3 linked regions of the Rhinolophus ferrumequinum genome follow. The protein of the gene in region 3 interacts with the protein of the main gene of each other region in a pairwise test. Links are inferred from orthologs where the notes say so. Each region holds a gene or a part of one and is shown on either strand. Other genes may lie near its edges.

The links.
Region 1: the proteins of ENTREP1 (region 3) and BAG3 interact in a two-hybrid assay, tested with the Homo sapiens proteins (2 studies listed by BioGRID and IntAct). The link is inferred for Rhinolophus ferrumequinum from reciprocal best matches to the Homo sapiens genes ENTREP1 and BAG3.
Region 2: the proteins of ENTREP1 (region 3) and STAM2 interact in a two-hybrid assay, tested with the Homo sapiens proteins (2 studies listed by BioGRID and IntAct). The two-hybrid records come from large-scale screens. The link is inferred for Rhinolophus ferrumequinum from reciprocal best matches to the Homo sapiens genes ENTREP1 and STAM2.

The regions. Positions count from the first base shown.
Region 1 is NC_046299.1:9,805,959-9,816,223, forward strand, and holds the start of BAG3 (BAG family molecular chaperone regulator 3), read right to left. Parts: upstream 3,729-10,265; 5' UTR 3,386-3,728; coding exon 3,200-3,385; intron 1-3,199. Other genes in the region: E3 ubiquitin-protein ligase TRIP12-like, read right to left, coding at 4,713-6,215. UniProt on the Homo sapiens protein: Co-chaperone and adapter protein that connects different classes of molecular chaperones including heat shock proteins 70 (HSP70s), e.g. HSPA1A/HSP70 or HSPA8/HSC70, and small heat shock proteins (sHSPs), e.g. HSPB8.
Region 2 is NC_046291.1:68,372,720-68,383,153, forward strand, and holds the start of STAM2 (signal transducing adapter molecule 2), read left to right. Parts: upstream 1-6,651; 5' UTR 6,652-6,766; coding exon 6,767-6,806; intron 6,807-10,434.
Region 3 is NC_046295.1:36,159,794-36,170,080, forward strand, and holds the start of ENTREP1 (endosomal transmembrane epsin interactor 1), read left to right. Parts: upstream 1-6,173; 5' UTR 6,174-6,259; coding exon 6,260-7,084; intron 7,085-10,287. UniProt on the Homo sapiens protein: Functions as an activator of the E3 ubiquitin protein ligase ITCH in the ubiquitination of the CXCL12-activated CXCR4 receptor. Thereby, triggers CXCR4 endocytosis and desensitization, negatively regulating the CXCL12/CXCR4 signaling pathway.

The sequences.
Region 1 (10,265 bases), on a different chromosome or scaffold from region 3:
ACGCTTGGGAATCTGTGCTGGTGACCTCCAAGATCTGGAGACCTAGAACAGCCCGGGTTCCTAGAGGGAGGAGGGTCTCCCTCAGGTCCCAGAGGGCTTTGCGAGGGAGCAGCACAGCGCCACACTCCCAAGTAGCTGGTGTCTGTTTATTCTGTGAGGAGAGCCCCAAGGGGTGGCTGCACGGGCACTGTGTGCATCTACTGACTCCAAAGCGAATGCCAACCTTTCTGACAGGGAAGGGACTGGCATGAACTTGCCAGGAGATTAATGGGAAGCCCACGTGTGCAGAAAATCGATACCCAGGAAGACTGCAGGTGGGGAGGTTCGCTTGGAGTGGAGCTGGAGAAAGCCCAGTGTCTCTGCTTCCAGCAGTCCCTGTGCCTCTGCACTGAAGGGCAAGACACTTGCTTTCACTTTCCCCCTCTGTGACAATGTGGGGAGTCACTCTAACCACTTCAGGGGAATGTGAGAGGATCAACTGTGAGAGGACAGAGTGTAAGACTAAACAAAACACAAAGTTCTGGTCTTTTCTTCTTCTTTCCATGAAAGCCATTCCTTTACCAGCAAGGTTGTTCTGTAAATACCAGGAGCTATCTTCCCCAAAGAGGGCTTTCTTTACTATTCACCCTCAATGAACAGTTCTTTACTGATTGACAGCACCTCCTCTTGAAGGTAAGGATGCTTGGAGGATCCTCTTAGCTCCTCCAAACAGCCCTTTGTTTTGTGCCAGGGCCCTTTTCTCATTACGCATTACGAAACCAATTTCTAATATAAAGTAATACTGAAGGATTTTCCATTGTATTTAGTCTGGAGTAAGGTGTAATTCATATAAGAGAAACTGAATTAGTCACCGAGATGTTCTGTGTATATCAAAGCATAGGTTTGAAAGCAATGAACCCTTTAGCTCTTGTAATACCGAAGAGCTAATTAAGTGAATGTTAGTTTTCTCCTTATGTGTTGATACCAGGCTGACAAATCTCAAATAATTAATTTGGTACAGAGAACTTGTTTTCTTGAGTTGATCACATCCAGCCATCACCATCCAAGTAATCATAGCACAGAAATCAGCCATCTAATACTTGGGGGTATTGGGAGGACACAAAAAAAATCAAAGTATTCAGCCTGTACACTTCACGGTTTCATAAAAATTCAAGACATTTCTACCTTCTTCTGAATAGATACACTGCCTCTTCTTAGGACTTACTGCTGTGTTTATCTCTTTGCTATTAGTATTAGTTGAGTGATCTTTGGAAACACACTTGAATTCTCAGGGTTTCTTTCTCAGTAAAATAAAAGAGGCTGAGCTAAAAGATCTTTAAGGACCTTTCAACTTTAAAATTCTGACTTGAATTTTCAAATCCACTTTCCCAACATCAGAATTCTGATTTTAGTAGCTCTTATTTTCTATTTGTTGAGAATAGTAACTCAACCTGGTTTTTTCTACCCTTAAAAAGCTTTATGAAACCACAGCCTAACCCATCCACCAGAAGGGTGCACAAAGGTCTCAACTTGCTGGGTCAGTTTCCTGATGAAAACAAAGTGCTGGCAATCTGGATCTCATACTGCACTCCCAGTGGATACGTTCAAACTTGACCTTCACTCACAACAAAGGGTGCCAGAAGATTCTGACGGTCCCTGTCTTTATAGGAAGGAAGCCTCAAAATAATTGGGTTTTTTTAGCCACACTAAAGATCATATTCACACAGACTGGAGCAACAGGGCTGGTTTGAAACGAGCATTAGTTTCACCCACTAATGGGCTGAACAAACACACAAAAAGTATATATAATTATGCCTCTTGTACTAATTACAGCCTCTTGTACTAATTTTCAGAAATAAATATACCATTAATTTCTTATAAATGTTAAGTTGCTGAATGTACAATGTCTGGTTGGGAACCAGAGGTTTATCAATATTTTAAAGAAAAAAGTGCATAAAAATGAAGGTGGATAACATAAATCTTTCTTCAAAAATAACGACTTATAAAGCATTCTTGATTTTGTGAATTTTTACATCTTCAAAATACCTTACCAGCTCTTTACAGCTTTTATTTTCATTTTGCCCAAACGGCATTAACAGTTACCCTTTACCTATTTCTTTTTTCCATGCTTTTTATTTTGGAAAAGATCAAACTTATAGATAATTGCAAGAATAACACAATTACATTTTTACATATTAACAGACTCGTTTCAAATTTTTATTTTCAAATTTTCACGTTCCTAAGCGTTAAATATAATCCTTACATACATGCAAATGAAGCATACTTCTGCTATACTCACAAAAGTATTATCGCCCAGTTATTTGTTTATTAAAAACAAGTCCTAGACGTTTTAATACCATGACAAGGAAGGGAATGTATGCCATTTAAAAAAATTTCTCTTTCTCGCCAGTGTGAGGCAACGTCCTAAGGCGATGGCCAACTATGAGACAGTCTAACATCTTTAGTTTAGAAATTGCCTGGGAGAAGAGCATCTTGTTTTTAACAAGTCATACTAGAATAGATTCTCATAAAAAAACTGTTTCAAACAATACAATTTAAATTCCAAATATAAAATGGACAAAAATAGGAAAGTATTTACATCAGTCTCCTGAGTCATCCTGTGCCTGAGGTAGGCGAGTCAAGTCAAGATACCCCTCAGCCACGTTGAGGAACCAGAGGTAAAATTCCTAAGAGACCACCCACCACCCAGGCTTGCGAGTGGCCCCTGGCGTCCGCCCAAGTGAGATCCGCTGAGAGAAACCAGCATCTCTGCCCCGGAAGCCCCGCGGCGTTGGGGCCTGGCCCGGCCTGGGGAGCTGACCAGAACGGCCGCCCCTCGTGGATCCCGGGCCAGCTCCAGCCACCGCGCCCTCAGCCCCAGGTCCCCTCGAATCGAGCCGGTGAACGGGACCTGGCGCCACCGCTCGGGTCGCACTTCCCGGGCCGACCCCCAGAAACCCCATGCGGCCGAAGGAGCACAGCCCCTCCGAAACCTCCCCCTCACCCCCACGCCTGTCAAGGGCGGGACCGAAGACCGGGGAGCTGGTGCGGCCCAGAGGTCCGTGCGCCCCAGGTGGCCTTCACCGACCTCGGGAGCTGGGGCGCTGGCAGGCTGCGGCCAGCGGGCACTCGGCGCCTCGCGTCCCTGCAGCCCGGCCCAGGTCAGCCGCCTCCGCCCGGCCCTGCTCTTCCATTCGTCGAGCTAAGGGGTCTGGCTCACCTTGGGGCCCTCGGGGGGCACGCGCGGGTCGTTCCACGTCGTGGTGCGGCTGTTGTGGTCCACGAAGAAGGGCCAGCCTGTCTGCGGGTCGACCTTGATTTCCCAGCCGGGGGGCAGGGGATCTCGGTCGCCGGCGCCGTTGCCGGACGCCATCTGCACTATGGGCGAGTGGGTAGCAGCGCTCATGCTGGGTCGCGGTGGGCCCGGAGGGGAGGCCGCCGGGGTGCCGGGTCGCGGGGTGCTGGGTCACGGGGTGCGAGGCCTCCAGGCGCCGAGTCGCTGGCGGGCCGCGGCCGGAGCTCGAACTGTGCGCGCCGCCGACGTGTCCGGGAAGCCGGCGCCGGGCACCTTTATGAATTAAAGGAGGGGGTGACGTGGCCTGAGAGGGGTGGAAGTGTCTGGAAATAGCCTCCTCGCTGCCAAAGGGGAAGGAGGAGATAAAGGGAGGTAGCAACTGGCCGGCTAGAAACTTCTGGTCCCATCCAGAGAAGTTGGCGGCGGCGCGGGTTGGAAGCGGAGCTCCGCCCTGAGTCATCCGCTATAATCGTGGCGGGCGGGGCGGGGCGGGGGCGGGGCCTCGGCCCGGCCGCCCCTCCTCCACTCCCTCCAGCTCCTCCCTCGCCCAGCTGCCCTGAGGTGGGCAGTGGTTCCCCTGCGGGATCCGCCTGCGGCCGGTTTCGGTTTTCAGACTCGCTCCCTCTTCTTGGAGCTGCGTGGGTATTTCCGGGACTGGCAGTCCGGGCGCGGAGTGCCTGCTGCGGCTCCTTGGTATAAAAACAAAGTCGTCGTTAGCCTTTGAAGTCGCTGGTTTTAAGCTAGAGTTTCGCCCACCCGCTACCTCCTATACTCCCCCTTATACTGATACTCGGGACACTGCGTCACTCAGTTACGTTTTAATCACCTTGCTTCATGGCCTTAAGAGCTCTGGAATGTTGATCTGAGACTACAACCAAGCCATGGAGAAAATGGAAGTGCGAATGGAAATTCACCTGCCTGCATTTTGAAACTTAAAGAAGAATGAAAGGTTGCATCAGCCCATGGTTTTATGCTCCTGAACCTCTTCTATTAAATATAGAAACTATTATTGCAGTAAACAACTGTAAAGAAAAATCACGTTCTTTTGGGTTTTGGTCTTTCTTTTTTTTTTTTTTTTTTTTTTTTTTTTTTTTTTTTTTTAAACTGCACAGCGACATTTATTGTTTCAGCCTGGAAAAACATCCCTTTTTTTTTAAATTTCACACAGCAAAGCAAGTTAAAAACTTCACTCATCAAATAAATGATAATTTAAACAAGAACTTGCTAAAGAAACCTCATCACAACAACATTTTAGGGCCTGATCACTTTAAGTCCATGGGCCATTAATGAATATCAACCAAGTGTCTCTTTTATAATCTGCAAGCCGTTTTTCCTACAAGGTGTAACATGTTTCCTTGCCTCAGGTGATACATTTAGAAAATAACTCGTGATTTTTTTCTTTTGCTGTAACAGGCAGACACTGCATTTCTTGGTGTGATCAGGAAAGATGGAACGACTGCTGCCCTTCTCTTGCTGCTATCAACAGTTTTTCCCGCATTATATCAATGTTTGAATAGTCCGGCAACTTCAGATAGTTCACACAAGTCATTACGGAGGGCAGAAAGTCATCCGGGTTTTCTGTTGACTCAAATGTCTTCCGGACAATTGTCAAAGGTGGATTCAAACTCCGGAAGCCTCCAACAGGCAATCTTGGGCTACCTGTCACAAACTGCAGAAATAACCTCTGCTGCTCATTATCAAAACTACTGAGAATCTCAAACAAAAACTTCACAGCCCGACTGTCGTGAGTGTAACCGTGATCTGGCCTGCAGCATTCCATCAGTGTCTTTGCATCCCAAGTGTCTGCCTTACTGCCACACAAGAGCTGGTCCAGTTCTTCTGGGTAGAAGTACTGAAGATGACTGAGTGGGAAGACGGATTCAAATCCATCTCTGAATGAATCAAATTGCCTGGAAACGCCTTCATTTAGTGCCCAGAATATAACCAGTCTCAAATACTCCTCGAGATTGTGGATTGTGACTGGTATATCCTTTCCTCCTTTCTTCAGTTCGATGTTGGGAAACCCTGGCAGAGTAAAATCCAATCCTAGATCTTCAACTGAACAGCCATTCATAGTCAGGGTTTCTAATGCATATCGTAGACTCTCTTTGGTCTGGGATTTATCTTGTTCAAGTCTTTTCTTCTGTCTGACAATGTCTTCTAGGTGATACACTGATCTGGCTACAACTGGGTCAATGTCAAACAAATCGTGCGATGTCAGTGACGTTTCTTGCCGTAGCATCCATTTATAAAAAGGTAAGCCAAGGGGAAGGTCCACCAATCGGAAATCCATGATAGCCTTGGCCATTAATTTTCCTAAGAAGCGAAACTTCATCTTAACCTTTGCGATATGAGCTGGCTTAGCTGTCCTACCAAAAGGAAGCGCGAACAGGCCCTGGAGGTTTTGAATATACTTGGTCCCTTCTTGGTTTCCTTTTGGATTGCTAAGAGTTACTTCTTCACCTCTCCAGAGACCCAAGTCAGCTCTCTGCAGTTCCTGAGATACAAGTGCATAAAACTCCAGTGTAGGCCCAAGACCTGTACCAACCTCATTTTCATACTGGATTTCTAACATGGCCCGTGAGCTGCCCAGATCCTGCATCACAGACTCAGCTTGTTTTAGCAGCTCCTCTCTGTTCACAGTTCGTTTTTTTCTATCCAATCTAGGTGCAACTCTGCTATCTTGAGAATCAGACTGGTTGATTTCTGGGTTGGTATCAAGTAATCTTTGCATTGCTCGGTCCCGATCAAATGCAGTTACATAAAAAAGCATTTGCCGGGTATCAAAAGGGAAGAAAAATGGGCAGGTTTTTCCTAGTTCAGTAAGCCACGTCGGGATGTTTCCTGTCATGATCACTAAAGGGTCTTGAAGCTGCCTATTTGCTTTTGCTGTCAACTTACTGTTAATAAATTCACTAGTTGGAATAACCTCCTTGCACATTGCATTATCATACAAGTAATACCAGTATCGACTGATGGCATGTAAAACTCTTAAAAGAAGAATCACATCTAACGACGGGTCTTCAAAAGTTATATTTTCAGGTGGTGTGGGTATGAGGTAAACTTCTAAAGGATTTGATACTGATGGGCACACTCCATCGTGCCATAACTCATCATGCTTTTTTGCATTTCTAGGAGAAGTTTTTGTTGGAGCTGTTTGGGCTCTTCCTCTTTTACCACCAACACAATCTTTATTACTTTCTTCATCCTCTCTCACCGGTTTGTACCTTGGTTTTGGTCTTTCTTAATGGTAGAGGTTGGTTCTTGCTATATTAAATCTTGACCTTTATTTGGAAAGTAAGGACCAAATCAAAATCAGGAAAAATGTTTGTTTAGTTGATTCAATGGTGGGTGCACTTGTAACCTCAACCAAGCACCCCAGTTCCTCTAAGGGAGAGAGAATGTGCCCCCAAAGGGAGAATGTTTGGAAGGTTCCATTTTAGATCTTTCGGTATGCAGACGCCTCATCCGCAAAAACGTTTTGAGAAGTTGCCTTGGACTATTGGGCCCAACTTTTTAACTCAAATTCTGAGAATACCCTGGAACCCTCAGAGACAACACCTCTTGTCTCTTTCTGCCCTCACATTACTCCTTTTGGAGCAAATGCTAGAGATGCCTTCAGATCATTTCCAATTTAATGATTCCCACTTATGTAGGTCTACTCATCAGCTCTGAAGTCCAAAAGCTCAGTTTTGGGAAAACATAGAGGAGATTAAACCCTAGAGACTGACTCAGGGTCACCAAACACACACGAGGCTGCTATATAAACCCAAACACCAGTGCATTAATTTATCACAAGAAATATGACTATAGAAGGAGGTAGACCCTCACGTTCAAGTTGGTCAATGTGTCTTATTCTTCCTTATATCTAAGGCCCTGAGCACAAGGCTGGGCCCAGAGTCCATATTCAGTAAACACTGGGGGTGCCAAAAGATTGCTGTATACAAGTGGGCACTTTGGTCAACGTTGCTCAAGCGTAGCTCGCCCTAATCAGAGGTGTCTGGACACTGATGGTAACCACTTTGAGTATCTCTTGTAATTGCAGAAGTCAAATGTAACTTGTATTCATCTTTTGTTATTGGTATATATTGAGTATTACAATTTTAATAGTTTTTTCCTTTCTTAAAATGTGTATACATTATTTTGGCACCCTTCGTCTTGATGTTTATTGAAGATTGAATCCAAAGTGAATTTTTATTTCTATCTTCTTCCTTTGCTTAATTTGCTTTCCACTACAACTACAGTGTAAATACTGAGAGCATTCTTTGCTGGATTCCCCCCCCCCCCCAGATAAAAGCAGGGAGGAAGCAGGTTCCTCTTGGATTAGCATAGCTCCTTCTGAGAGTCATGCTTCCTTAGGGCTCCACATGTTTGTCTAAAATGTAGCCATAAGCCATGGAGAGCTGCCTGGAAGAAGCTCCTTTGAAGCATGCTGAATAACGAGGAGTATATCTGTCCTTGGTGGGTTTTTTTCTCTCTAAGTCTTAGGACACTTGTTTCCCAGGTGCTATAGAATGAATGTTTGTGCCCTTCCCCCAAAAAAATTCATGTGTTGAAAGCTGTTCCCCAAAGTGATGCTATTTGGAGCTGGGGCCTTTGGGAGGTAATTAGGTCTTGAGGGCAGAGCCCTCAAGAATGGGAGTAGTGCTCTTATTTTAAAAAGACCCCAGAAAGCTCACTAGCCCATTCCACCACGTGAGGACACAGCAAGAAAACAGCCATCTGTGAACTGGGATACAGGGCCCCCAGAAGACACCAAATTCGCTGATTCCTTGGTCTTGGACTTTCCAGCCCCCAGAACCGTGAGAAATACATTTCTCATGTTTATAAGCCACTCAGTCTATGGCATTCTATTACAGCAACCCAATTGGACTAATACACCAGGCCTTTTGGAGTTCGTTTTCCTACATCAGAAGCTTAAACATGACCTTGGATTCCCCTTTCTGTCTTATCATCCAGTCTTCTCCAAGCCTGTAAATTCTGCTTCTTCAATATTCTTCGACTCTGTGCACTCTTCTCTTTCTTCAGTGCCACCAGCCTGGTCCAAATCACCCTGATCTCTCATCTGGACCCTGGCAACAGCTCCTAATCTTGTCCATAGCCAATCCATTGCCGACATGGCAGCTGGGTGACGTTTTCAAGCACAAGTGGGCCACGTCCTTTCTCTGGTTAGAATGCTTTAATGGCTCCCCACTGCTGTCTCTATTTCCAAATCCACACTCCTCAGCCTGGTATACACGAGGCCCTTCCCTTTCCCTGGTGCATACTCCACGCTGGCCCTGCTGAACTATATTATGCTCACATTGTGCTTTCTCTCGTCTTCACACACTGCTTCCTCCACCATCTCCCCCACCCCCAATGCCTCCCATTGCCTGGCTGACTCCTGTTCATCTCCAAGGATCACTTTTCACATCACTCTCCTTCACCTTCCTACTCTAGGTCATATATCCCTTCTAGATGCTCCCGTACAAACCCTGGGCCACCCTATCAAGGGCACGGCATTGCAATGGCTTGTTTGGTGGTCTCATTTGCTTATATATTGAGTTTCTTGAGGACAGGAGAAGAATCTTGATGCCACTGTGTCCCTAGCCTCTGTCACAGTGCCTGGTAACTAACAGTTATAAAAACAACAACAATCATAATGGCTACCACTTATTAAGCATTTACTGCATGCTAGGTACTGCCTTGTGGGCTTTATTTGGATTATCTCATTTAATCTTTGTGGTGGAGGCTGTGATCCCCTTTCAGGATTGAAGGATTTATCCTCCCAGATGCTGGCAACACTGCAGGAAGACCAATCTCAGCTGTCCTTTGGGGATTGGCTTAGCTGAGAAAAACTGTTTTGGCCGAGGTCACACCTCCTAGTTTTAGGGGAACCTGCATTCAGTGACTGACCTACCAAGGGGCATAAGGGCCCTGCGCTTTGGGTCCAACTCAGGACAGGACTCCCTTGCTCTTCCAGCTCCAGAGCGCCCTCTGGGGTTGGCTGCTGCTTTCTTTGGGACTGCATGGCAGCTCAGCTCCCCCACCACACACAGACACACACCGTTTGCTGCTTCCTGCTCTCCCTTTTACTGGTGTTGCTGTTAAGAGTCCTGCTTGCTTACTTCTGTCTCACAATCTCCTTCCCAAGGACCCCAATCTGGAACAATCCCCTGAGCAAGCAGCCTTACGGGTAGATATTATTATGATTCTCCATTTGCAGATGAAGCAATAAAGGTTTAGAGACACTAAGTAACTTGCTCAGTGTCACAAAGCTCATGATTTGTAGAGGTGGGATTTGAATTTAGGCAACTGGTTCTAGAGCCCATGCTATTAACCAGGCACTCGATACATATAATAAGTGAATTGATGGGCTATGTCCCACTAATCACCAAGTAAAACATTTAAAAAGCTACAATTCAGAAACAAAGTACTTCGTGCACATAATTTTCCTCAGTGCCAAGGAAATAAGGGTGTAGGCAGGTGCGGTGAAAGATCACAAATCAGCCCTGTCAGTGATGTGGATGGGCCTGGCTGATTCCAGCACAGGTCATAGACAGGACACTCAAGCCCTGCTACGATGCAAGTTCTCAACGAAAATGTCACCCAAAAGATTTCAGTCCCTGCATGATTTTATCTATTTCTAATGGAACATATGAGCTGGTATAGGAGAACAGCCAGTTCTCCCCGATCTGTGCAAAATGCTGATCAGCCCAAGTCATTTTGGTTTGTCTCAGAGATTAACACACACAGCCATGCACAGTTTCACCAGCAAACCCCTCCCAAGGGGACCCTTCCACTATGGGCAGCCTAGACAAGAGGAGGCCAGAGCCGCTTGGATGAACGCTGTGGCCTCTTTCTAACGTCCTGATGGTCAAGTGCGTCGGGAGATAGAGGTCATGGCAGTGAGTGTTAGAGCAGAGAGGGAAATAGGCAATGTCTGTTCAGATTATGCCATGAAGACCTCGATGATAAGCTCTAGAAACACACCCTGGTGGAGGGGGAGCGG
Region 2 (10,434 bases), on a different chromosome or scaffold from region 3:
AGGAAAGAAAAAAGTAGTAAGTATTTTATTGGCTATTTGGTCACTTTGTTCTTTTCAGTCAACATCTGGAGAATGGTGGTGGGCGGGGATTGGAAGGCAAGAGGAATGAATCAGAGAGATGAAGGACAAGCAATCAATCAAACACAGGGTTTTTCCGTGTGACTTAGTCCACGCTGCTATAACAAAGTACCACAGACGGATGGCTTATAAACAACAGAATTTATTTCTCCCACTTCTGGAGGCTGGAAGTCTGAGACCAAGGTGCCAGCATGGCTGGGTTCTGGCGAGATCCTCTTCTGGGTGGCAGACTGCCAACTTCTCGTATCTTCACATGGCAGAAAGTGAGCTAGCTCTCTCACCTCTTCTTTTTTTTTTTTTTTTTTAAATGAGATGTGATTTTTTTTTTTTTTTAAGATTTTATTGGGGAAGGGGAACAGGACTTTATTGGGGAACTGTGTACTTCCAGGACTTTTTTCCAAGTCAAGTTGTTGTCCTGTCAATCTTAGTTGTGGAGGGTGCCGTTCAGCTTCAAGTTGTTCTTTCCGTCTTAGTTGTGGAGGGTGCAGCTTAGCTCCAGTTGCTGTTTTCTAATTGCAGGGGGCACAGCCCACCGGCAACCTTATGGTTGAGAGGACGCGCTCCAACCAACTGAGCCATCCAGGAGCTCAGCGGCAGCTCAGCTCAAGGTTCCGTGTTCAATCTTAGTTGCAGGGGGTGGGGCCCACCATCTCTTGGGGGAGGAATTGAACTGGCAACCTTGTGGTTGAGAGCCCACTGGCCCATGTGGGAATCGAACCGGCAGCCTTCGGAGTTAGGAGCACGGAGCTCTAACCACCTGAGCCACCGGGCTGGCCCACTCACCTCTTCTTATAAAGGCACTAATCTCATTAATGAGAGCTCCATTCTCATGACCTAATTACCTCCCAATGGCCCGACCTCCAACTATTACCACATTGGGAGTTATATTTCAACATATGAATTTTGGGGGGACACAAATATTCAGTCCATAATGTAATGTTTACAATATTCTAATTAATGGACTAAATACTTGTGAGGGGCACAGAATTTAAAAACCACACAGATCCTTATTTGTACTCGTGGGGAGTTACAACAATCACAAAAGTTAGGTTAGAGGAATAATAAGTGCTAAGTCATGCAATGTTGACCACTTGTTCAGAAAAGTTTCGGAGAATTGGAAGGCATGTGGATTGGGACCAACTGAGGAAAGCTTCTGAAGAAGATGGGTGTTGAACTAGATCTTAAATTTCCAGATGTGAAAAATAAAAGAGGTAAAAGATGAAGGCAGGTGGAAGAAGAAAGCATGCATGTTTGGAAAGTGAAATATAAAGCACAATACAGACAAAAGACACTTCATTTTCTCCTCCAACTGATTTTCACAATGTTGTCTAGTGCTGCTCTGTCTAATATGCTCGCCACTAGTCACATGTGGTTATTTAAGTTTAAATTAATTAAGAAGAAATGAAATTTAAAATCCAGTTCTTCAGGTGCTCTAGCCACATTTCAGGTGGCTAGTGGCGATTTTATTGAACAGTGCAAATATAAAGCACATCCATCATTGCAAGAAGTTCTTTCGTAAGTGCTAGAATAAGCGCTACTGAGCATTTACTATATGAAAAGCTCTCGTGTCCCATTTAATCTTGATAGCAAACTTACTACGTATATACTTCCAGATCAGAAAACTGAGGTTCCTAGAACTTAAGTATTTTCCTAAAGTCACATAGTCAGTGGCAGGGCTGTAATTTGAAATTTCATCTGACGTCAAAAACTGATGCCTTAAGCCAAGAAAAATAAGGTTACTGGGTAGGGAGAATGAGTTATTTACCAGAGACAATGACATCCCAGACTGAACTTTCTGTGGCAGGCAAAATCCCGGTTCTTGAGTAAGGCAACAAAACCACAAAGGCGGTGTTTCAGGATCAGTAGCTTAGTTTTGAGTGTAGGGCTAGTCTAGCGTACGTGGTGTCTTCAGAAGTGAAAGGCTCTCTCTAGGAGAGATGCAGCCTTGTGGACTCACGACTCAGTTAACAGAGCATGTAGACCCAAGCTCCTTCTCACCCCCTACACTGAGTGCCTCTTTTCAGGGGGAAGAATTGGAAGGCATGGAAGAAACAATAATCTGGGATAACGGAGGTGATGCCAAGGGGAAGGGAGGAAGGGAGAACAACAAAAAGAGAGTTTGAAGAAAGACATGAAAAAAATTAGGTTTAAAAAAGTTGAAAAAACTAGGAGCAGAGTTAGAGCTTATTCCAAGGTTTCTAGTATGTTGGTCTAAAACATGTGGTACCTATGATAGAAAAGAGGAAAAGAGAGCCAACTTCTGGTTTCTGGTCCAGGATCTAAGGAGCTTAGCAATCATCACTCCTGCCCACACAACAAGAAATAAAATTAACAACTTTTTTTAGAGAACTAAGGTCTCAGAGAACTGAGGTCACAGGGCAAACAGCTGCCACAAAACTGGAAAGACAGACAAGCAGACATAGAGAATCACAATTTACTGAAGGAGAAACCCTCATAGGAACCAGCTCCGGGGTAAGAAAACGTAAACTGTAATTCACAAATTGCTGAAGCTCAGTGGACAAGTCTGAGGGTTAAAAAACTTCAGGGGGTCCCAGTAATAGAGAAACCCCACATTTTTGTGAGTTTTACTCCCAGGAGCCCTACCAAGTTCCCACAGTGAAGATCAGAGAAAATCCCCTTGTGCTTCTGGCAGGGGGAAGGGAAAAGTGTCCATTCTGAAATGAGCCCAGACCATTCTGTTTTTAATGAGGCCTGACCTCGAGAGAAACAATTCTACCAGAGCCTAACTCACTAGGGTTTTGCCAGAGCCTAGTGGACGTTTCACATGTGTTGTCACAACTCATTTCTGGAGGAATCAAACATGTCCTGTATGACTCCACTGAGAGAGGACTCGTGGAAGCTTGTGCCTCCACTTCCCCTACATGCCATTTCCCTTGGCTGAGTTTGTTTTGTTGCCTTTCATTGTAATAAATCATAGTACGAGGAGACTGGATGCTGAGTTCAATGAGTCCTACTGAATCACTGAATCTGGGAGTGGTCTTGAGGACCCCGATACACCTCGATTGGTTCCTGAAAGAAAAAAAGAGGACATTAATGTAAACACTGTTAAAATCTAAATAAAGTCTTGAGTTTAGTTAATAACAATAAACTGATGTATGTTTCTTAGTTTTGACAAATGTACTGAGGAAATGTAAGCTGTTAACCATGGGAGAACCAGGGTGAGGGGTAATTTAGAGCTCTCTGTACTATCTGTGTAACTTTTTTATAAATCTAAAGTTATCTCAAAATAAAGAATTTATTTGGAAGAAAACCACTCAAACCAAATGCTTTGGAAATTCATGAAAAATAACATACTACTCATCTTAAAGAGAGAGAGAAATTATCCAAACTGAAAGACAAAGTGGAAAATAAGAGAGAACAAACTTTATTGACTGTATCCAGAGAGACAGATTGTGGTTTAAAAAAAAAAATCAGACTCAGGACTTGATTGTGAGAGTAGCAGAATTTAAAGGAGGGTTGAATAAGGAAGACATAACACATAGCATGTCTCCTACACTAAACTCAGGGGTCTGAAAAGGAAAGAATGGGACCCTGAGACCTAGGATGGGAATATCTGGGTGGATCCTCTTGAGAAGTTTGAGGATTTGCTTCAATCCTCTGGACCAACAGAAGTGGTGCCCTTGTCCTTGCTAGAGGACTGTGGCCTCCCTTTGCCTGAATATCATGCAGAAGTCTCACCTGTGGAAGATGCTTCCCAAAATGCAACTTTCTCTTCTCAAGATTTGCCAAAACCATCTGCAGTGTTTGAAGACCAGTATCTAGGGTCAAGTTTCATCATGGCCTGACTGGGGAAGCACTGCCCCTATTTTGGAATAAAAACGGTTTTTCCCCAAATAGGTACTGGCAGAATTAGAAGCACATACCTGGGGATGGATCTTGGTATATGTTTGGGGAAAGTAATCTAAGGTAAGGATTTGTTGAGTGTAAACCCAAAATAACCAAGAAAACCCTAAAGAGACTAAATTTAACTAAATTTGAGAAGATTATTTTGTTTTCAGGGAGACGGGCTCAAAAGAGATTGTATGACAGAAAAATTAAAAAGTTGCATTTCATTGCACACTAGAATTTGTGGGTTGCCACTGACGTATCTTTTAATTTTTCAACAACTTCATTAGGTTAAGCGATGAGCAATTTTTTATATTCTTGTTTCTAACACACGGTCCAGCTCTTAGTGACTACTAAAAATTTTGTTAATGTGAGGAACTCACCGAGTGACTGAGTACACACACAGAAAGGGAAATACTGATGGATTCTTGAGTACACTTGCCATTAAAAATGAAAGGAATTAAAGGAGTCTCTTTCCTTTCCAAAGGCTAATCCTCAGCCTTTTGCTCTTATCTCAACACAAGCTCCTCTACAATATTTCCTCTTACGGCTTTATCAAGTGCAATAGCCTCCTAAACTGTTCTGCCTGAATCAGATTAATATCTGGAAACTCTTTTTAGAAACCTATTCTGCTGCTCTAAATCTTTAAATGATTATCTAGTGCCTTATATGGTAAATTTTTTTAAAAAATTAGCTTGCTCTTAGGGCTCTTCCCAATCTGTTTCCTCTTATCTCTATCTTGCTTTGTTTTCCATTCCAACACTAAGCCGTAATCCTAGACAAATCCATCCAGAATGTCTCCAAAAATATATATATGTTCTTCCAGGACCCATCAGCTCCAAGTCAAGTAGTTGTTTCAATCTAGTTGTGGAGGGCGTAGCTCACAGTGGCCCATGTGGGGATCGAACCCGCAACCGGCCACCCCCTCCAAACATATTTTGAACATCCTAAATTTAGTGTTTTTTTGCAAACCAGCTCCTTTCACCTGCAAAAGTTTCTTTCTTATTTGTGCACCTATTTTTATCACATAAAATGCAACTACCTTCCTGAACTATTCCATGTGTAAGGACTCTCTCTTCTATGTATCGCATCTTTGTAACAAAGGTTGTCAAATGGTTTTGTTTGACTTATTGTTAAAATGTTGAAGTAATTCCCAACATTTAAAAATCATTTTCAAATTGAAAGCTCTAGTAGGGTCCACAGGTCAATAAATGGCTCAAGTTTACTGGTGGCTGTCATTTTCAGACACACACGCTTAAGTTAGATAGTCATGGCTGCCTTTGAAAAGTATTTATCAAGCACGTATTACTTGTCGGATAGTGTTTTAGATGTCCGGGATACAGCAATGAACAAAACTGATCATGGAGTTTATATTCAAAAGAGAGAAAACATAGTGAGTAAATTATAGATTTGGAAGTGATAAATGCTATGGAAAAATAAAGCAGGGTTAAGAGGGATAGGGAGTGGGTGTGAAGGGCCCTTGCACTTTTAGATTCAGATACCTGGCGGGAATCCTATGGGAATTTGAGTTGGGACTCCAATATACAGTAGCCCACCCTTATCTGCAGTTTCGCTTTCCCTGATTTCAATTATCCGTGGTCAACCATGGGCCAAAAATATTAAGTGGAAAATTCCAGAAATAAACAATTCGTAAGTTTTAAAATGTGAGCCATTCTGAGTATGGCGATGAAATCTCAAGCCACCCTACTCCAACCAAGCTGTGTGCAGCCACCGCTCCCCATTAGGCACTTAGCGGCCCTCTCGGTTTTTAGACCAACTTGTGCTATCACAGGGCTTGTGTTCAGTAACAGCTATTTAACTTAATGGCTCCAAAGGCATTCACCTAACTTTAGTATATTGTTATAGTTCAACTTTATTATTACTGTGAATCTTACTATGCCTAACGTATAAATTAAATTTTTTTATAGGGATGTATAGTTAAAAACATAGGTACTATCCATGGTTTCAGGTATCCATTCAGGTCTTGGACTGCATCCCCCTTGGATAAAGGGAAGGCAGGAAGGGAGCCTCATTGCTTGTTGGACTCCCAGGGTCCAGCAGTGTTTTCAGGGCGAGAACACGATGGAAAGCAGAAAGTTAGGAGTCCCCACAGAGCCCAGGTAACTTTGACCACCGATTTCCAGAGTGGTTATTCCAGTGGGGTTTAGGCACCAAGGAGAGGGCAAACTATAAGCTCCTGAGAGAAGAGCCAACTCTGCCCACTCTCCAAGCCACCTCTGGGCCAAGGCTCGATCCGTTTCCAGGGCAACAGAACTGTGACGCGAACGGAGTCGCGAATCCATGGCCGCCTCCAGGGATCGGCCTGCAGCTTAGGAACCAACTAAATGACCAAGAACGTGGCCGTCTCAACCAGCAGTCGCACGCCGAAAATCTCAGGATACCGGGGTCCCTTCGGCGCCACCGCCCCCACTGTTAGAGGGTTTCTGGCGTCGCCCAGTACTGGGCGCGACAACTTCCGCCCCGAAGGTCCCCCTCCGCTCCGTGGCTTGCCGGGGTCCTAGCGATGGAAAGGTGGCCGCGGCAGACGCCTGACCTATATGAAATCCTGGGACACGGGCAGCCGCCTTCTCCCGGCGGGAGGCAGCGATAGGGGTGCTGAGAGGATAAGCGCACCTGGTGGGACCTCGCGCCTGGACGGGGAAGGGGGGGCGGCGCGCGGACCCGGAGCTGGCCCGTCAGGCGGGAGTCGGGCAAGCGCGGCGGCGGAAGTGCGAGGACGCGGGCGGAGCCGATCGGTCTAGGAAGCCGCGGCCGCGGGGTCACCGAGCCGGGAGCAGCTGCCCAGCCGGACCTCAGCGACTAAGGCTCGGGCGTCGACAAGATGCCTCTGTTCACCGCCAACCCCTTCGAGCAAGACGTGGGTAAGTGCTGGTTCCGGGGCCCGGGCTGCTGTTTGTCCTGCTAAAAAGTGGGCGGCGGCAACGCGGCACTGGGAAGCCGAAGGGAGAGAAGGGGGACGGCGCCGCTGCCCCTCCTCGGGGAGGGTAACTTAGACTTGTCGCTAGCGGTCTGGAGAGTGCTTCCTACCCACCTGAGGTTGGGGACCCCGAAACGGAGCCATTCCCCTCGCCAAGCGCAGGAATAGGGAAGAAGAACCTGGTGCTTGCTGGAGAGTAATTAAGCAATTGCGGAGTCGATGATAGAAACTTCCTGCTCCATGTAGAACTGGTTAAGCACTCCCTTCCCCTCCCCTTTAGGAGATGACGGAGCAGTGAAGACCCTGCTGTCTAGGGCAGCCCAACGCTAGAGACCTTGACTCGCCCCCATTCAGTAGGAAAAACCTGTTTCACCTCGTGTATATACAAATGCATCCAAGCCCCGATAGCACAGCTTCAGGATTTATGTACAACGCTTGGAAGTGTTATCGGCGGATGGCCCAAGTGCTTACGCGATGTTTTGTCCTAGGGTGTGAAAAGGAAAACTCCAGGGTCTCAAAACAGTCCAGAACAACCAGTATTTTGTTTGTTGGGGTTGTAAGAGCACTGATGTTTCAGTGACTATGGAGTGAGAAAAAGATGGGCAGGGTAAGAGAACGCATTTTGGGCATGAGAATAACAGTAAAAACAAACTGGCTAAGTAAACATTTTTGTAGCAGCAGTTACCGGAACCTTAGGTAGAGTTTTGAGACTTTGTGGAATGAAAAAACGCATGGCTGAAAATTGCCAAAGTCACACAGAATGCTGAACTTCACAGCAGTGAGCCATCTGGTTTTGTACTTACGTTTCTAATTATGAAAAGACTCTAGAAAGTGCCCTGTTTTATGTGATCCCAAAAGTGTGTTCAAAAGTCAAATGTACTATGTTATAAGCCCCTTCCATTCCCAGGGAGCTACAAAATTTTATAAGTATATCTTGATCCGAGGTAGGCTTCAAATATGTATTTCCATAATTTTATTCGACTTGTTTTCTTGGTGGTTTGTTTAAACAGGTGACAGGCATGGATCTAGGAAGCCTGGCGTTGAGGCTCACAGCTTCAGCTTTTGGAGCACCTAATGATGTCTTCCTCTGTTGTAGGGAGACCTGTACTTTTTATTGTTGATGTGAAGACTTTTTGTCCTAGTGAAAGAAAACGGAAGGGGCAAAATAGAATAAGACAAGTGATTTTCAAATTTAGAAACTGTGGAACTCTCTTCAAGGGAAATTTTTCCCAGAAGGCCATTGTTTTCTGGTTGAAAACTTATCAAAGTAGGCCAAATTGCTGTGCCTGTTTTGCTTTTCTAAACCACCTGAGATCCTTGCCTGGTTTAGTGGATCACAATTTAGTACCATTGTAGTAAAAGAGGCACTATTGTTCTGACAAAAAATACTTCTGTGTGTCCATTACTTCAAGGGCAATGCCTTTAACCAAAGCTTCAAGAACTTATTGGTTTACTCTGCTATGACTGATGTCAGAATCCAAAAGTCAGTTTCAGGGTAAAAGAGCAAATTTGATGGAGGCCCGTCTGTAACTTCTTTTAGACAAGTGAATGGAATTAATAGAAAAAGTAGAAAGAAATACTAAGGAGTTCAAATTGGCCCTAAACCTTTATCATAGAAGAAAAATTATGTATTACATTTTTCAGACCTTAAATCTCCTTTTAATTTGAAATAGTTAAGTAATACAAGCAAGTCATTATTTAACTTGAGATGTCTACAGGAACGTTCCTTTGCCATGTCATTTTCTTTTCCCCTACTCTTTGATTCAGTCAGATTTTTATCATTGTTTCTTTTTTATCATTGTTCACCTTTCATTCAACAGACACACATTGAATGTGTCTCAGACATTGTGTTAAGTTCTGGGGACACAAACATTTAACAAATGGACTGAATTCCTGCTTTCAAGGAGGACGCATACACACATAAAAAGATAATTGTAATATAGTGTGATAAATATTGTAGTAGAAATACACAAGATGCTTTCCATGTTCCCTTTATTTAAAACAGTCATTTTTTTTCCTCAAGAGAAGACAGACCTTCAGGCAGACACTTTCTCTGTAAAGATGTTGACACTGTCCACTCCCACCCCCAACCCCCTTTTCTAACAGCACTTCTCCCTGCAGGAAGTAACCTTATCTCTTACTATATGTATGATATGATCATTTTATAATTAAGAGCCTTTAAAGATGAAACCGTGCCTTTGGTGGGTGCAGAGTCTCACCAGAGGGCAAGCAGTATTTCTGACATCATTCATATGGGAAAGAAACCCTTTTCTCAGACTCGGAGAAAAAGCTCTAGTGGGTAAAGATGTCTGGGAAGGGCACCCATAAGTTGACGAATGTATATGACTTGTCCGATGGAAGCAGGCCGAAGGCTGGGAGATAAGCAAGAGTGGCAAGTTCCTATTTTGTTCAAAGCTGAAACCTACAAACCCCGATTGATATGCTAGTATGGTAGCATTAGAGCTCTTTAAATATTTACTGAAGTTCTTAAAATCTGGATTTATTTTTTGTTTTGTTCAATAAAATTCTTTTGAAGCTGTGATGAAAAAAAAAAAAAAAAAGAAAACACACACCTACCCGGCCACTCACCCTGAGCCCCGCATTGTAAAGGATGCAGTATAGGATTCCTGATTTGGAGCCTAGTTCGTACAGCCTTCTTAGGTGATTCCATGGGGAAAGTGAAACATGGGGGACACAGCCACAGTAGGAAGATTTAGTGGTTAGTGTTAAAAGGAATATCATTGCCTTATATGCTGTACCAATTTTTCCAGTCTCACTACATTGGTTCCTGACTTTATGACTTGTCTGTTCTGCTCCCTAACTCCAGTTCATATTTGCATGTCTTTTTTCTCTTTATTCAGTGTCGGCAGGTTCTTGCAAGGTTCTGCCTCAGCCATTTACTGTTCATTGATAGACTTTTGCTTTATTCAGCACCCTTGGTATCTCCTTCCTTAAAGATAAACTTGTGCCTCAAAGCTGAGCTCAAATTCTACCACTACAAAATCTCTGACACAATGGATTGAAGTGTGAACTTTTATCTTAAAAGGAGGCTTTTCCAAGTGAAATTAGGCTTGTATGGGTGTGTCTTTGGTTTGTGTTGTGTTCAGAGAACTCGACAATGAGGTAGCTTGGGGCTTTTATAAGAAACCCTAATATAAAAATAGATATTGACAGCACTTCAATAATACACATCACTTTATATGTTCAAATTTGTAATATTTACATATTTATTAAGTCAATTCTTGAACGCAATGAGGTTCTTATAATCTTTGTAAAAAAAATAAAGTTAGAAATACGTTTGGTTATGGATGAGAAGGATAGCCTTAAAAGCCATTTTTTTCTATACTTTGCTTACATGGTACCAAAAATCCTAATACCTATAGATAGTTACAAATTTTAATTAATGTATCTTGTGACTTGTTAAACTATGAAATACTTTTATCATAAAGTACGGTATATAACAAACTCCTATTCCTCTCAGCCAACTCTGTCAAGTTCTAAATTTTGCCATTTTATTTTTTTAAGAAACATTTAAGATACAATTGAAATTATCTGGTATATTTAGTAGCTAT
Region 3 (10,287 bases):
ACAGGATGGCTGGCAGCAGTTGTCACCTCTCCTTTCAGGGTAGACTGCACCTCTCTCTCCTTAGGTGGCTTTGTAATCTTCAGTGGGTCAATGGCGATGACATTTTAAATCCATGAATTTGTACATTCCCCAAGGTTAGAGTTAGTCTTACAAAAATGCAATTATGAGGACATCAATAGCTCAGTTTACAGGGGCAGGGCTCAGCGCAAAGCAGGTTCCTCTCATTGTCTCTCTTCCAGCTTCAAGAGCAGGAATGCCCATCCTTGGACTATCTTTGGGGGCCTACGGTCCTTTCTTCTAAGAATAGTCACTGGAAAGAAGAACACATAGAAACATACACACACACACACACACACACACACACACACGCAGAAAGGTTTATTGGTCTCTGAGACATAGCTTTTGAGGACATCTCCAACCTCTGGGGAGCTTTTATTAAATATATCTGCATGTGCCTCACCCCTCTGCAGACCTCATAAGTCAGTATCTCTGCAACTAGGGCCTTAGAAATTGTACATATTTTTGAAAGTTCTCCTGCTGAGTCTGACCAGTACCCTAGACCAAGTGTACCTTAGTGGAGGAGGATATGCAGCTCCTCTCAGACCAGGCAAAGACAGCCTCTTTTATCCTACAGCTTTTTCTTAGACATCTTTGTTTCCCAAGGGTCTAGGCTTCACATTGGCCCCACTACAAGGCTGCTCAAGGGATTGCCCCAGAACAAAGGAATGGTCTCTGCTCATAGGTGAATTATAGCTTTGACTTCTACAGAAACTCGATCCTGCAGAAAGGTCTGCTATTAGGAGGTTTCTTTCTCACACACACAAACACACTCACACACTCTCACACACTTATAAGACATCCTTTACTACCGCATTTCCTCGAAAATAAAACCTAACCGGAAAATAAGCCCTAGCATGATTTTTCAGGAGGCCATCCCCTGAACATAAGTCCTAATGCGTCTTTTGGAGCAAAAATGAATTTAAGGCCCAGTCTTATTTTCAGGGATACACGGTATATATGTGCTTAGCTTATCTCCCCTAGAAATGTACAAGCCATAAATACTTTTTAGGGCAGCTGACTTGTTTTTGCGGGATTTGTGTTATAAGACATTTTCAGTATTTAATTTCAACAATGAAAAAAGTATGGGTGCAGCTCTTCTGTTTAACAAGTAAGTCTGTTTGGGGGCCAACGGCATTAAAAATCCTTAATAACCAGTCTGCACTATTATTTCAGAAATAATGGAATGCCTAATTTGGCCAGCTCTGCTCAGGATTGCTTTCTTCCATTCTCTCTCTTAATTAAAAAAAAAAGTGCCACAGTCCTTTTGACGCCAGATTTGGGTTGAATCCCCCCTCAGAGTGGGGACTCAAACTCTGGACTAAGAAGGTTCTTGGTTTCACATAGAAAGAATTCCAACATGAGCCGATATAAAGTTTAAAGTGAAAATAAATGTATTTAGCTGAGAGTAAGTAAGAAAAAGAGGAAAGACCACCCCACAGACAGAGTGATGGTCTCTAATCACGAATGGAAGAGAGACTCCTCCATCTCCCAGGCTAGGGATTATATGTGTTTTCTGTTTCCATGGAAAATTTATTGGTATGGGGGGAAAGGAGGAAAAAAGAACAAGAGTAAGTTTATCTGCAACTTCTGTAAGATGCAAGAAAAATAGGGGCAGGCTTACCTTTAACCTTTGTAAGCCACAACCTGTATTTTATTTGCAGTGGGCTTACCTATAGGAACGGATTCTTTGCTTAATAAAGCCTTTGGATGGTTTGTTCTGTACGATTGATAAACGTCTGCCTGAGTGGTGTGTCTTGGAGCATGTAATCAGCTGGTTTGGAATACAACCTCCTGGCTTCTTCTGTAAAAATAGTGCTCAGGCCCCTTTCCTATATTACTTTCTCTGCAAAGTGAAATGTTTTCATTGAAGTTCCCACTTCATCATCACCGCAACACAATCTTCATACAACATTGTCCCTCATGGAAACCCATGAAGCCACGGAACCTGAGGCCTAAGTTTTCAGTTTTTGGGGTCTGTAAGTAATGATTCCACACCCCAATTCACCTGCTGTTCTTGGTTCCTGCTCTCTTGCTGGTCATCTGAGAAACCATGGCAATGAGAATGGCTGAACTTCAAAACTGCAGGTCTTGGGGAGTCCAAAGGATGGCATGGTCCAGCCTCAGGCAGATGAAGCATCACAAACTTGCATTTGACAGATGCAGCAAGTGAGGCCAGAGATGCTTGGAACCGGCTCAAGATCCTGAGGAGAGGAGGGGCAACAGCCCAGGATGTCTGGCTCCTAATATGTGGTGCCCTTTCCATTAGAAGCCAGTGATCTAAATCCTTCCTGTACATAAAAATCACCTGGGCAGCAGTGCCTGGTTGAGGACCAGCAAAATCCCTACTCCCAGCATATTTACATCTAACTTTGTTTTCAATCAAATCCTCTGCCTTCCCCTTCCAGCGAATTTGCTCCCTCTAGTCCCCTGCCACATAAAAATTCCCGTATGAAAATTCTGGAGTATGAGTAGTTTCATCCACGAATGGTTTGGGGCATTTGTTAAAATGCAGGTTCCCAGGCCTCCATCTAGAGTGTCAGATCCTGCAGGTGTGGGGGAAACCCGTGCAGCTGCATTTTGACCTGCTCTCTGAGTGGTTCTGTGCTCCGTGGACCATACTTTGAGAAGCCGTTCCAGAGCTACCATATGAATTGAGGATGTCTAAAGTCCACTGTGCCTTACTCAGAGAAACTCTTCTCTTTCTTAAATTGAAGCACTGGAGGCAGGTTGCCAGGGAACGTGTTTTAAGGAGTTTCAGCAGCAGCTCCCACTCTACCAGGGAATAACCTCCTGTAATTAGCTGCCAGGTTGGGTCTTCTGAGAAAGGGTGGGAGGCACTGAGGAGTTTAATGGTGACTAGTGAAACCTTAGCGAAAGAGCCTAAACTCCTAAGAAGTAAAGGCTTTGATTGCAGACAGTAAAAAATGAGGTACAGAGAAGGGAAGAGTTGGTGGAAATTTCTCCTTGGATTTCGGCTTTGATCTTGAGGAAAGCTAGCAGCTTGCTTCCATGGAACAATAACTACAGTTTCCTTGAACTTTCACCTATATTAATGAAATGTCTGGGAAAAAAGAACATTTTTCCATATGTTCTTCATTACTTTTTAAAAACTTTTTGGGTGAGGGCTTTATTCAGATATAAATCACATGAATCTTTATTGAGATACAATACACCCATTTAAAGTGTATAATTCAATGGTTTTTAGTATATTCACAGTTGTGCAATCATCACAATTGATTTTAGAACATTTTATCACCTCCAAAAGTAACCCCATATCCTTTAGCAATCACCTTCTCCCCATTTAATCTTCCCACCCTTCATCCATAAGCAACCGTTAACCTATTTTCTGTTTCTGTTGATTTGTCTATTCTGGAGATTTCATATAAATGGAATCATATACCATGTTTCCCCGAAAATAAGACCTAATCGGAAAATAAGCCCTAGCGTGATTTTTCAGGAGGACATCCCCTGAACATAAGCTTTAATGAGTTTTTTGGAGCCAAACTTAATATAAGACTCGGTCTTATTTTGGGGGAAACACGGTAATATGTGGTATTTTGTGACTGGCTTCTTTCACTTAGCATAATATTTTCTTTATTAAAGTAAATTTATTGGGGTGACATTGGCTAATAACATTATATAAATTTCAAGTGTACAATTCTATAATACATCATCAGTATATTGCATTGTGTGTTCAACACCCAATGTATTTGGGTATCCTTCCGACAACATGTATTTGACCCCCTTTACCCTTTTCAACCTCCTCCTACCCTCCTTCCCCTCTGGTAACCACAATACTGTTGTCTGTGTCTAGGAGTTTGTTTTGTTTATTTGTTGTTTCCATTTTATATCTCATATATGAGTGAAATCATATGGTTCTTGTCCTTTTCCGTCTGACTTATTTTGTTTAGCATTAGCACATTTTCAAGGTTTGTTCATGTTTTAGCATGTATCAATATTTCATTCCTTTTTATTGCCAAAAATATTCCATTGTATGGATTACCACATTTGTTTATCCATTCATCCACCCTTGGATTGCTCCTACATTTTGGCTATTGTGAGTAATGCTGTTTGTGTATCAGTTTTTGTGTGGACATATGTTTTCATTTCTCTTGGTTATATATATATCTAGGAGTGAAATTACTAGGTCCAATGATAACTCTGTGTTTAACTTTTTGAGGACTTGCAAAACAGTTTTCTAAACTCCTCATTTTATTTTTTTTAACCAATATGAAATCAATGGCTCTGACTCACCCTATGGGTGCTTAGTTACATACAGTTCAGCTTAATCAGGTGTAACGAAGGATTTATTGTACGTAAGCAAGTGTTTGGAGGATATGAAGAATTAAGCTTGGGTTACAAAATCCAAAAATCCAAAGCTCAAATACTCAAGAATGTTATTTGGTATAACCTTAAAGGTTGGGGCAATGTTACATGGATTTGTATTTATGATAAGCAGAAAATGAAACCCACAGCTATGAATGAGGCCAATAATAAAAAAAGAAAAGAAAACTACAGTGCAACAACTCTTAATTAGCAGCTTTGGAAAAGGTTTAGTGGCCTGAAAAATATAAGTAAAGCTATTGGATAAAACTATCAATAGATTTTAATTACCTCTGCTATCAGCTGTTTCTATGTAGGGAAACAGACAAAAAATTTAAGGGTAAAGAACTGAGATATACTTTAAAGTATTTAAGCATAAAATACAAAGGCATGCACAATGTGTAACTCTATGAATTTTCTCAAAATGAACCTCACCTGTTTAAGTAGTACCCACAGCAACAAACAACAGATGGTTATCAGCTCCCCTGGAACTCCTACTTTCTAGTCATTAACCATCCAAAGGGAAGGAGGCTATCTGATTTCGAACACCAACATTCCTAGACACAAAGACGACATTTTTAATAGTAAATTTCAAGTGTTAAGGATTGACCAGTGGAATAGATTCGTTAAGCTGATAGGATTTCTCAAGACTCAGACTTTTTATATTGCACGGTGTAGTAGAATCTTAAACATTAAATACCTGTGAGCTTGTGTATAAAATAAAAGGTATAATAAACTCAGCGTATAAGCAGCTTTTAATTTACCGTTACATGCAATTTAAGAACATGTACTGTAAGGTGTTTTTAAATTGCATTTACTTTAAAAGACAGATCTCCTTTTCTCCAGAATTTGAAGTTTGTTTCCAAGGAGGATTTGAAGTTTGTAAAAGAAGGATTACTAATCACTGGTGCTTTAATAATCCAGAAAGTGTACATGTAAACCAACACGCACGTTGGCAATGCATCCCATTGTGGGTTGAAGTGTGAGTAATGACCAAAATAAACACAGCCTTTGTAAGCAGGGCATAGAACTAGATAGACATCTCCCTTGGTTTATTGGGCAGGAGGATGTTACATACCCTCACCTTCTGAGAAAACGAGCTAACACTGAAACTGACTTACTGGAAAACGACACTTCTCTGGTTCTTAACCTGGAAAAAAAATCTACTATCATTGTTTTACCTATAAGAACACTTCTAACACATTAAGAATTCTTCCGAGGGAAGTGTATACTATTAGAGGAAATCATTTTGCAAAGGTGAATCATCCTCTTTTTTCTTTTTTAGTAGCTCTAAATATGTCTTATAAGTAACCAAAAATAGGTTGGGATTTTATTAGGATATTTCTTTGGAAAATTAGGATTCTATGTTGTACCAGGTGATGCCGAAAATAGCTCATGAGTCAAGGTGATGTGGACACAGAGTGTAACCTTAGCCACGCGAATGGGGCCGCCCCCAGTTCTTCCTTTCTGGATTCTGGATACTTCCAAGGTAATGTCTTGTTCACACTCACCCCTACCGTGGTTCGGGAAAGCACCTCCGCCACTCCCCTCCCATTTCCAGGAGGCAGGGCCGCAGCGCAATGTCAGCCCAGGCGCAGGTGATTCCGCTCTGCTTGGTCCTTCCCCGAAGCCCTGCGGCTTAGACTTTTCCCACCGAGTCACCCAAAGCCCCTCCTCCTGCCATCCCACCTCCCGGCGGCCGGGGTGGGGGTGAGGGAGTTTAAAGCCGACCTCCCTTCGCATTATAGGTTACCAGAGTCCCTCTCTGTGCTGGACCAGAAGGGGGCGAGGGACCACCGCGCTTCTCCTGCGCTGCTGTCCATCCCCAGCTCGGCGGGTGGGGGACAGACTCTTAGGTTGTCAGCCGCTAGCTCCAATGTGCGCTGACCGCGGCGTCCCTCCTAGCTCGAGGGACCTATTTAAAAAATTGGGGCTGGGCACCCTTCCTGGACGCCAGGAAGCGGACGCGGGTTCGGCTGTGACCCAAAGGCTGCAGCAGCCCCGCGGCGCGAGCGCAGGGCGCGCGTGGGTGTGTGTGGGTGAGAGTGAGGGTGCGCTCGGGGCAGGCCGGAGGCGGACCCGCCCGGTGGCAGGTGGGTGCGGCCGGCGGGAGCCGGGGCGGCGGTGGCGGCGGCGGCGGCAACAGCAGCAAGTGGTTGGGCCGTGCGCATTTCCTTCCCTCCCCCTTGGCCTCGGAGCCCGCCCGCGGTGCCCAGTGCGTGGCGCCCGCGACTCCGCTCCGCGTCCCCTCCCTGCTGCCACCGGCCGCTCCCTTCCCCGCCCGTCCATGTCCCTGCCCGTGGTGCTCCCGGGCTCCTGCTGCCCGGTGGCCGGGCTCTCGGGCGGGCCCCAGGCCGGGGGCCCGGGCGCCGCGGCCGCTGCTGCCCAGGAGCCGCCGCTGCCCCCGCTGCGGCCCCGCTGGCCCCGGGCCGCGCTGCCGCCCCCAGTGCGGCCTCGGTGCTCCGCCACGGCCGCCGCGGTACTAGCGGCGCCGCCCGGGCTCTCCTCCCGCCGGGCCGCCGCCGCCGCCGCCGCCGCCGCGGCCCCAGGCTCTGCGCTGCTGCCGGCTCGCCCGCTGTTGTCGCTCGGGCTGCTGCAGCTGATCCTGGGTTGCTGCATGGTGGCACTCAGCTTCGGGGCGCTGTCGCTGAGCAGCTCCCCGCAGGTGAAGAACTCGTGCCCGTTCTGGGCTGGCTCCTCGGTGAGTGCCTCGCGCGTACAGCTCGCTTCGGCGGGGCCCACCCAGGGAGCCGGGGGCTCTGGCCGGTCCCCTCCACTGTGCCATGATTGGGCTTGCAAGGCTGCAGGTGGGGGAGCACAGTTGAAGTTTTTGGGAAAAAAAGGCTTAAAGAGAGTGAAATTCAGGGGTGAATTGGGTTGCACCTGGCAGTGTCTGTTCCCCACAGGCTAAACGATTTTGTTGTCTTTGTCAAGCTAATAGAATATAGCAGGTCCCTAGCACTTTCGAAGATTGGAAGAATGGGGCTGGGTGTCAGAAAAGTGGGAGGAAAATGATTGAACTTTTAGCCACTGAGTATTAATACTTCCCTGGCAATGTCCGCGAGGGGAGGGCAGGGATTTTGATGTTTAGTTCACTGATGTATGGACAGTGCCTGGCACATAACAGGTGTATTTGTAGGAGGGGTGAAGTGACAGTTTGACAGAGGCACATCACTTGTTTTCTTCCAGCTTACAACACATTGTAAATGTGAAATGTATCTGGTGTAGGATGGCTCCACTCTATTTAGGGCTGAGTTCAGGAGGTAATGACAGGGTGTGTGTAAACTCCTGGTTGTACCTGGTGAATGGAACCGGGCCGTAAGCCCCCACTTGGTTCCTGGAGCTACACAGGCTGCTGAACAGAATTTAATTCTTCAGAACCTGAACCATCATTATGCAAGATCTCTCCAAAGCCAAAGGAGCTGGGACAGCTAGCTGGAGATGTCTGCCCCACTCAGGGACCTGGCCCTGCCTCTTCCAACAGGAAAAGCTGATATGCAGCAAAGGTGCCTGGCCTCCAAGAAAGGCTGCATGCGGCCCCCAGCACCTCTAGCCACTGGGTGGCTACTCATCCCCAGCTTCATAACAATTTCACAGCTTCTAAGGCATCCATCCTCTTGAGGTTTGTCTCTAGTGGAGAGACTTGGAAACAGGTGTTTTGGGGAAGATCGTGGAAGATGAGTAGTTTAAAGTAAATGACCTTTTTATGGACTAACAAAATCTAAACGTGCCTATAGTTTTGATGAAGAGCTGTAATGAATATATATTCTGAATGCATAAAAACTGTCCTTTTGTAGGTCCACACACACCCAGATTCAAGACCAAATTTTAAGAATATAGGGAGAATTAATTGAACCCAAAGTAATTGTTTGAAAAGAACATCAAGTACCTCAAGTGTGGCCTGACATTTTATCCTTAAAGTGATGGCAATTAGCTCTCTTTGGAAATGCTTTGATGCTAGATGATCTTACTGTGGTACAACTTATGCTTTGGTATCTGGAGTCCACAGTCTGTGAATCATGTAAAAGAAGTCCCACGCTCTTGGCCCTACCCTTGGGGTCTCCTGTTGACCTCCCTGAGTGTTCTTTAAAACTCCAGGAGGAGGGGTCTTCTTGACTGGGTGGGGATTAGATCCATTATGCTCCCTAGTCCATTTGTCAGACTAAATTCAGCCAAATGGTTGGTGCATTTTATTCCTCTAAATATTATGGGTCGGAAGTGAATCTCGCATACGTTTTTATGAATTTGCTCTTTGTAAAATCATAATCTCTTGTCTTCTCAAAGGTAGCTATTTAGGATTACTGAAAACTATTTTTTCCCTTCTAAAATTAAAACCCCAAATCAGTGTACTATTGTGATTTATTTCAGAGGTACGTTGACTCAGATGTCAATCAAGCCAGAGTTGGAGTTGATGAAGTATTAAACCAAAAAAAAAAGGCCATCAGCTAGAAGAAGAAGTTGGCTGTTCATCCCCTCCCTTGCCCTTTCCCCCCCCAACCTGCTGGCTGGGTGTGTCCTTGTCTCCAGGACCCAGCAAGCCAGAGCAGGGAAAGAATCAATTATTTGGAACTAAGTTTTCTTCTATAGATACATTTTTCACAGCCTGCCCCCCAGCTCTATATGCAAACTTACAGCTGTTCGTTATTCTTATTTTTCGTGGCTTGTTTCTGAGGTTGACCTTGGAATTTGCAAAGTGACAACAGAACCAGCAGACACTGCGTCTCCAGAACAACTAAATAGGATTTGAGGATGGCATTAGGCATCATGACGACGTTCTAGGTATTTTAGGAAAAAAGTCTCACCAGTATAAATACCTGCATTTATGGATGTGAGAGAGATGTTGGTTATTTTTTTTAACTCTGCATTATGGAAGAATTTAAATTTATTATAACATTGCACAATGAACCCTCATGTATCCTCACCCAGCTCCAACTGTTGTTTCATCTGGACCTCTTCCTGGCTCTGCTGCTGGCTGTGTGTGTTCTGATAACTCTAGGACGATGGGTATTCCAGGCAGGGGAGGAATTATTAGGTTAGTGCAAAAGTAATTACGGTTTTTGCAAATATTTTTAACCTTTTAAACCGCAGTTACTTTTGCACCAACCTAATAGTTCCATCATGCTCCCTAAGCCATTTGTCAGATTAAATTCCCATATCATTTTGAAGCAAATCTCAGACATCACGTCATTTCGTGTGTTAATGTTTTAATATGTGTATATTTTTAAAAAGAGAGTATAAACAATAGAGAGACAGCATGGAAGTGACCAGGAAGTCTTAAGAATCCCTCTCCACTTTTAATCTTTTATTATGAAATTTTAAAATCACAACAAATGTAAAAAGAATAGTATAATGAACCTCCATTTTTCTGTCACCCAGCTTTAGTAGCTGCCAACACATGGCCACTTTATACCCACATCTACCCCTCCTTCTTAACACCCACTGGATTATTTTAAGGTAAAGCCTGGATATCATAATTTCAGCCATTAAATATTTTTGTATGTATTTCTAAAAGAAAGGTGGCTTAATAGTTAAAAGAAAGGGACTTACTAGCACATTACAACTGATTTAAAGAGAGCTAAACTAAGGTTTTTATGAAAAAAGCTTAAAAATTAAGACTTGAAGACTGCATAATTTTTTGAAAAAAATAAGAGCTTTACCGAGATATACAGGTAACCCCCGTATAATATGGTGGCTAGTTTCCTAAAAATGCCATGTTTTGTGAATCTGTGTTATACGAAACAAAGAACTAGTACAAAAAAAGGGGTTAGGTTCCAAAAATTAAAAAAAAAAGATTATATTTTTATGATTAAGAGAAATATCTTTATTAAAGCAATTTTCACCAAAAGTGTAACATTAAATTTATATTAAATAATGTTTTCTTCATCATCGCTACTACTGTGTTTT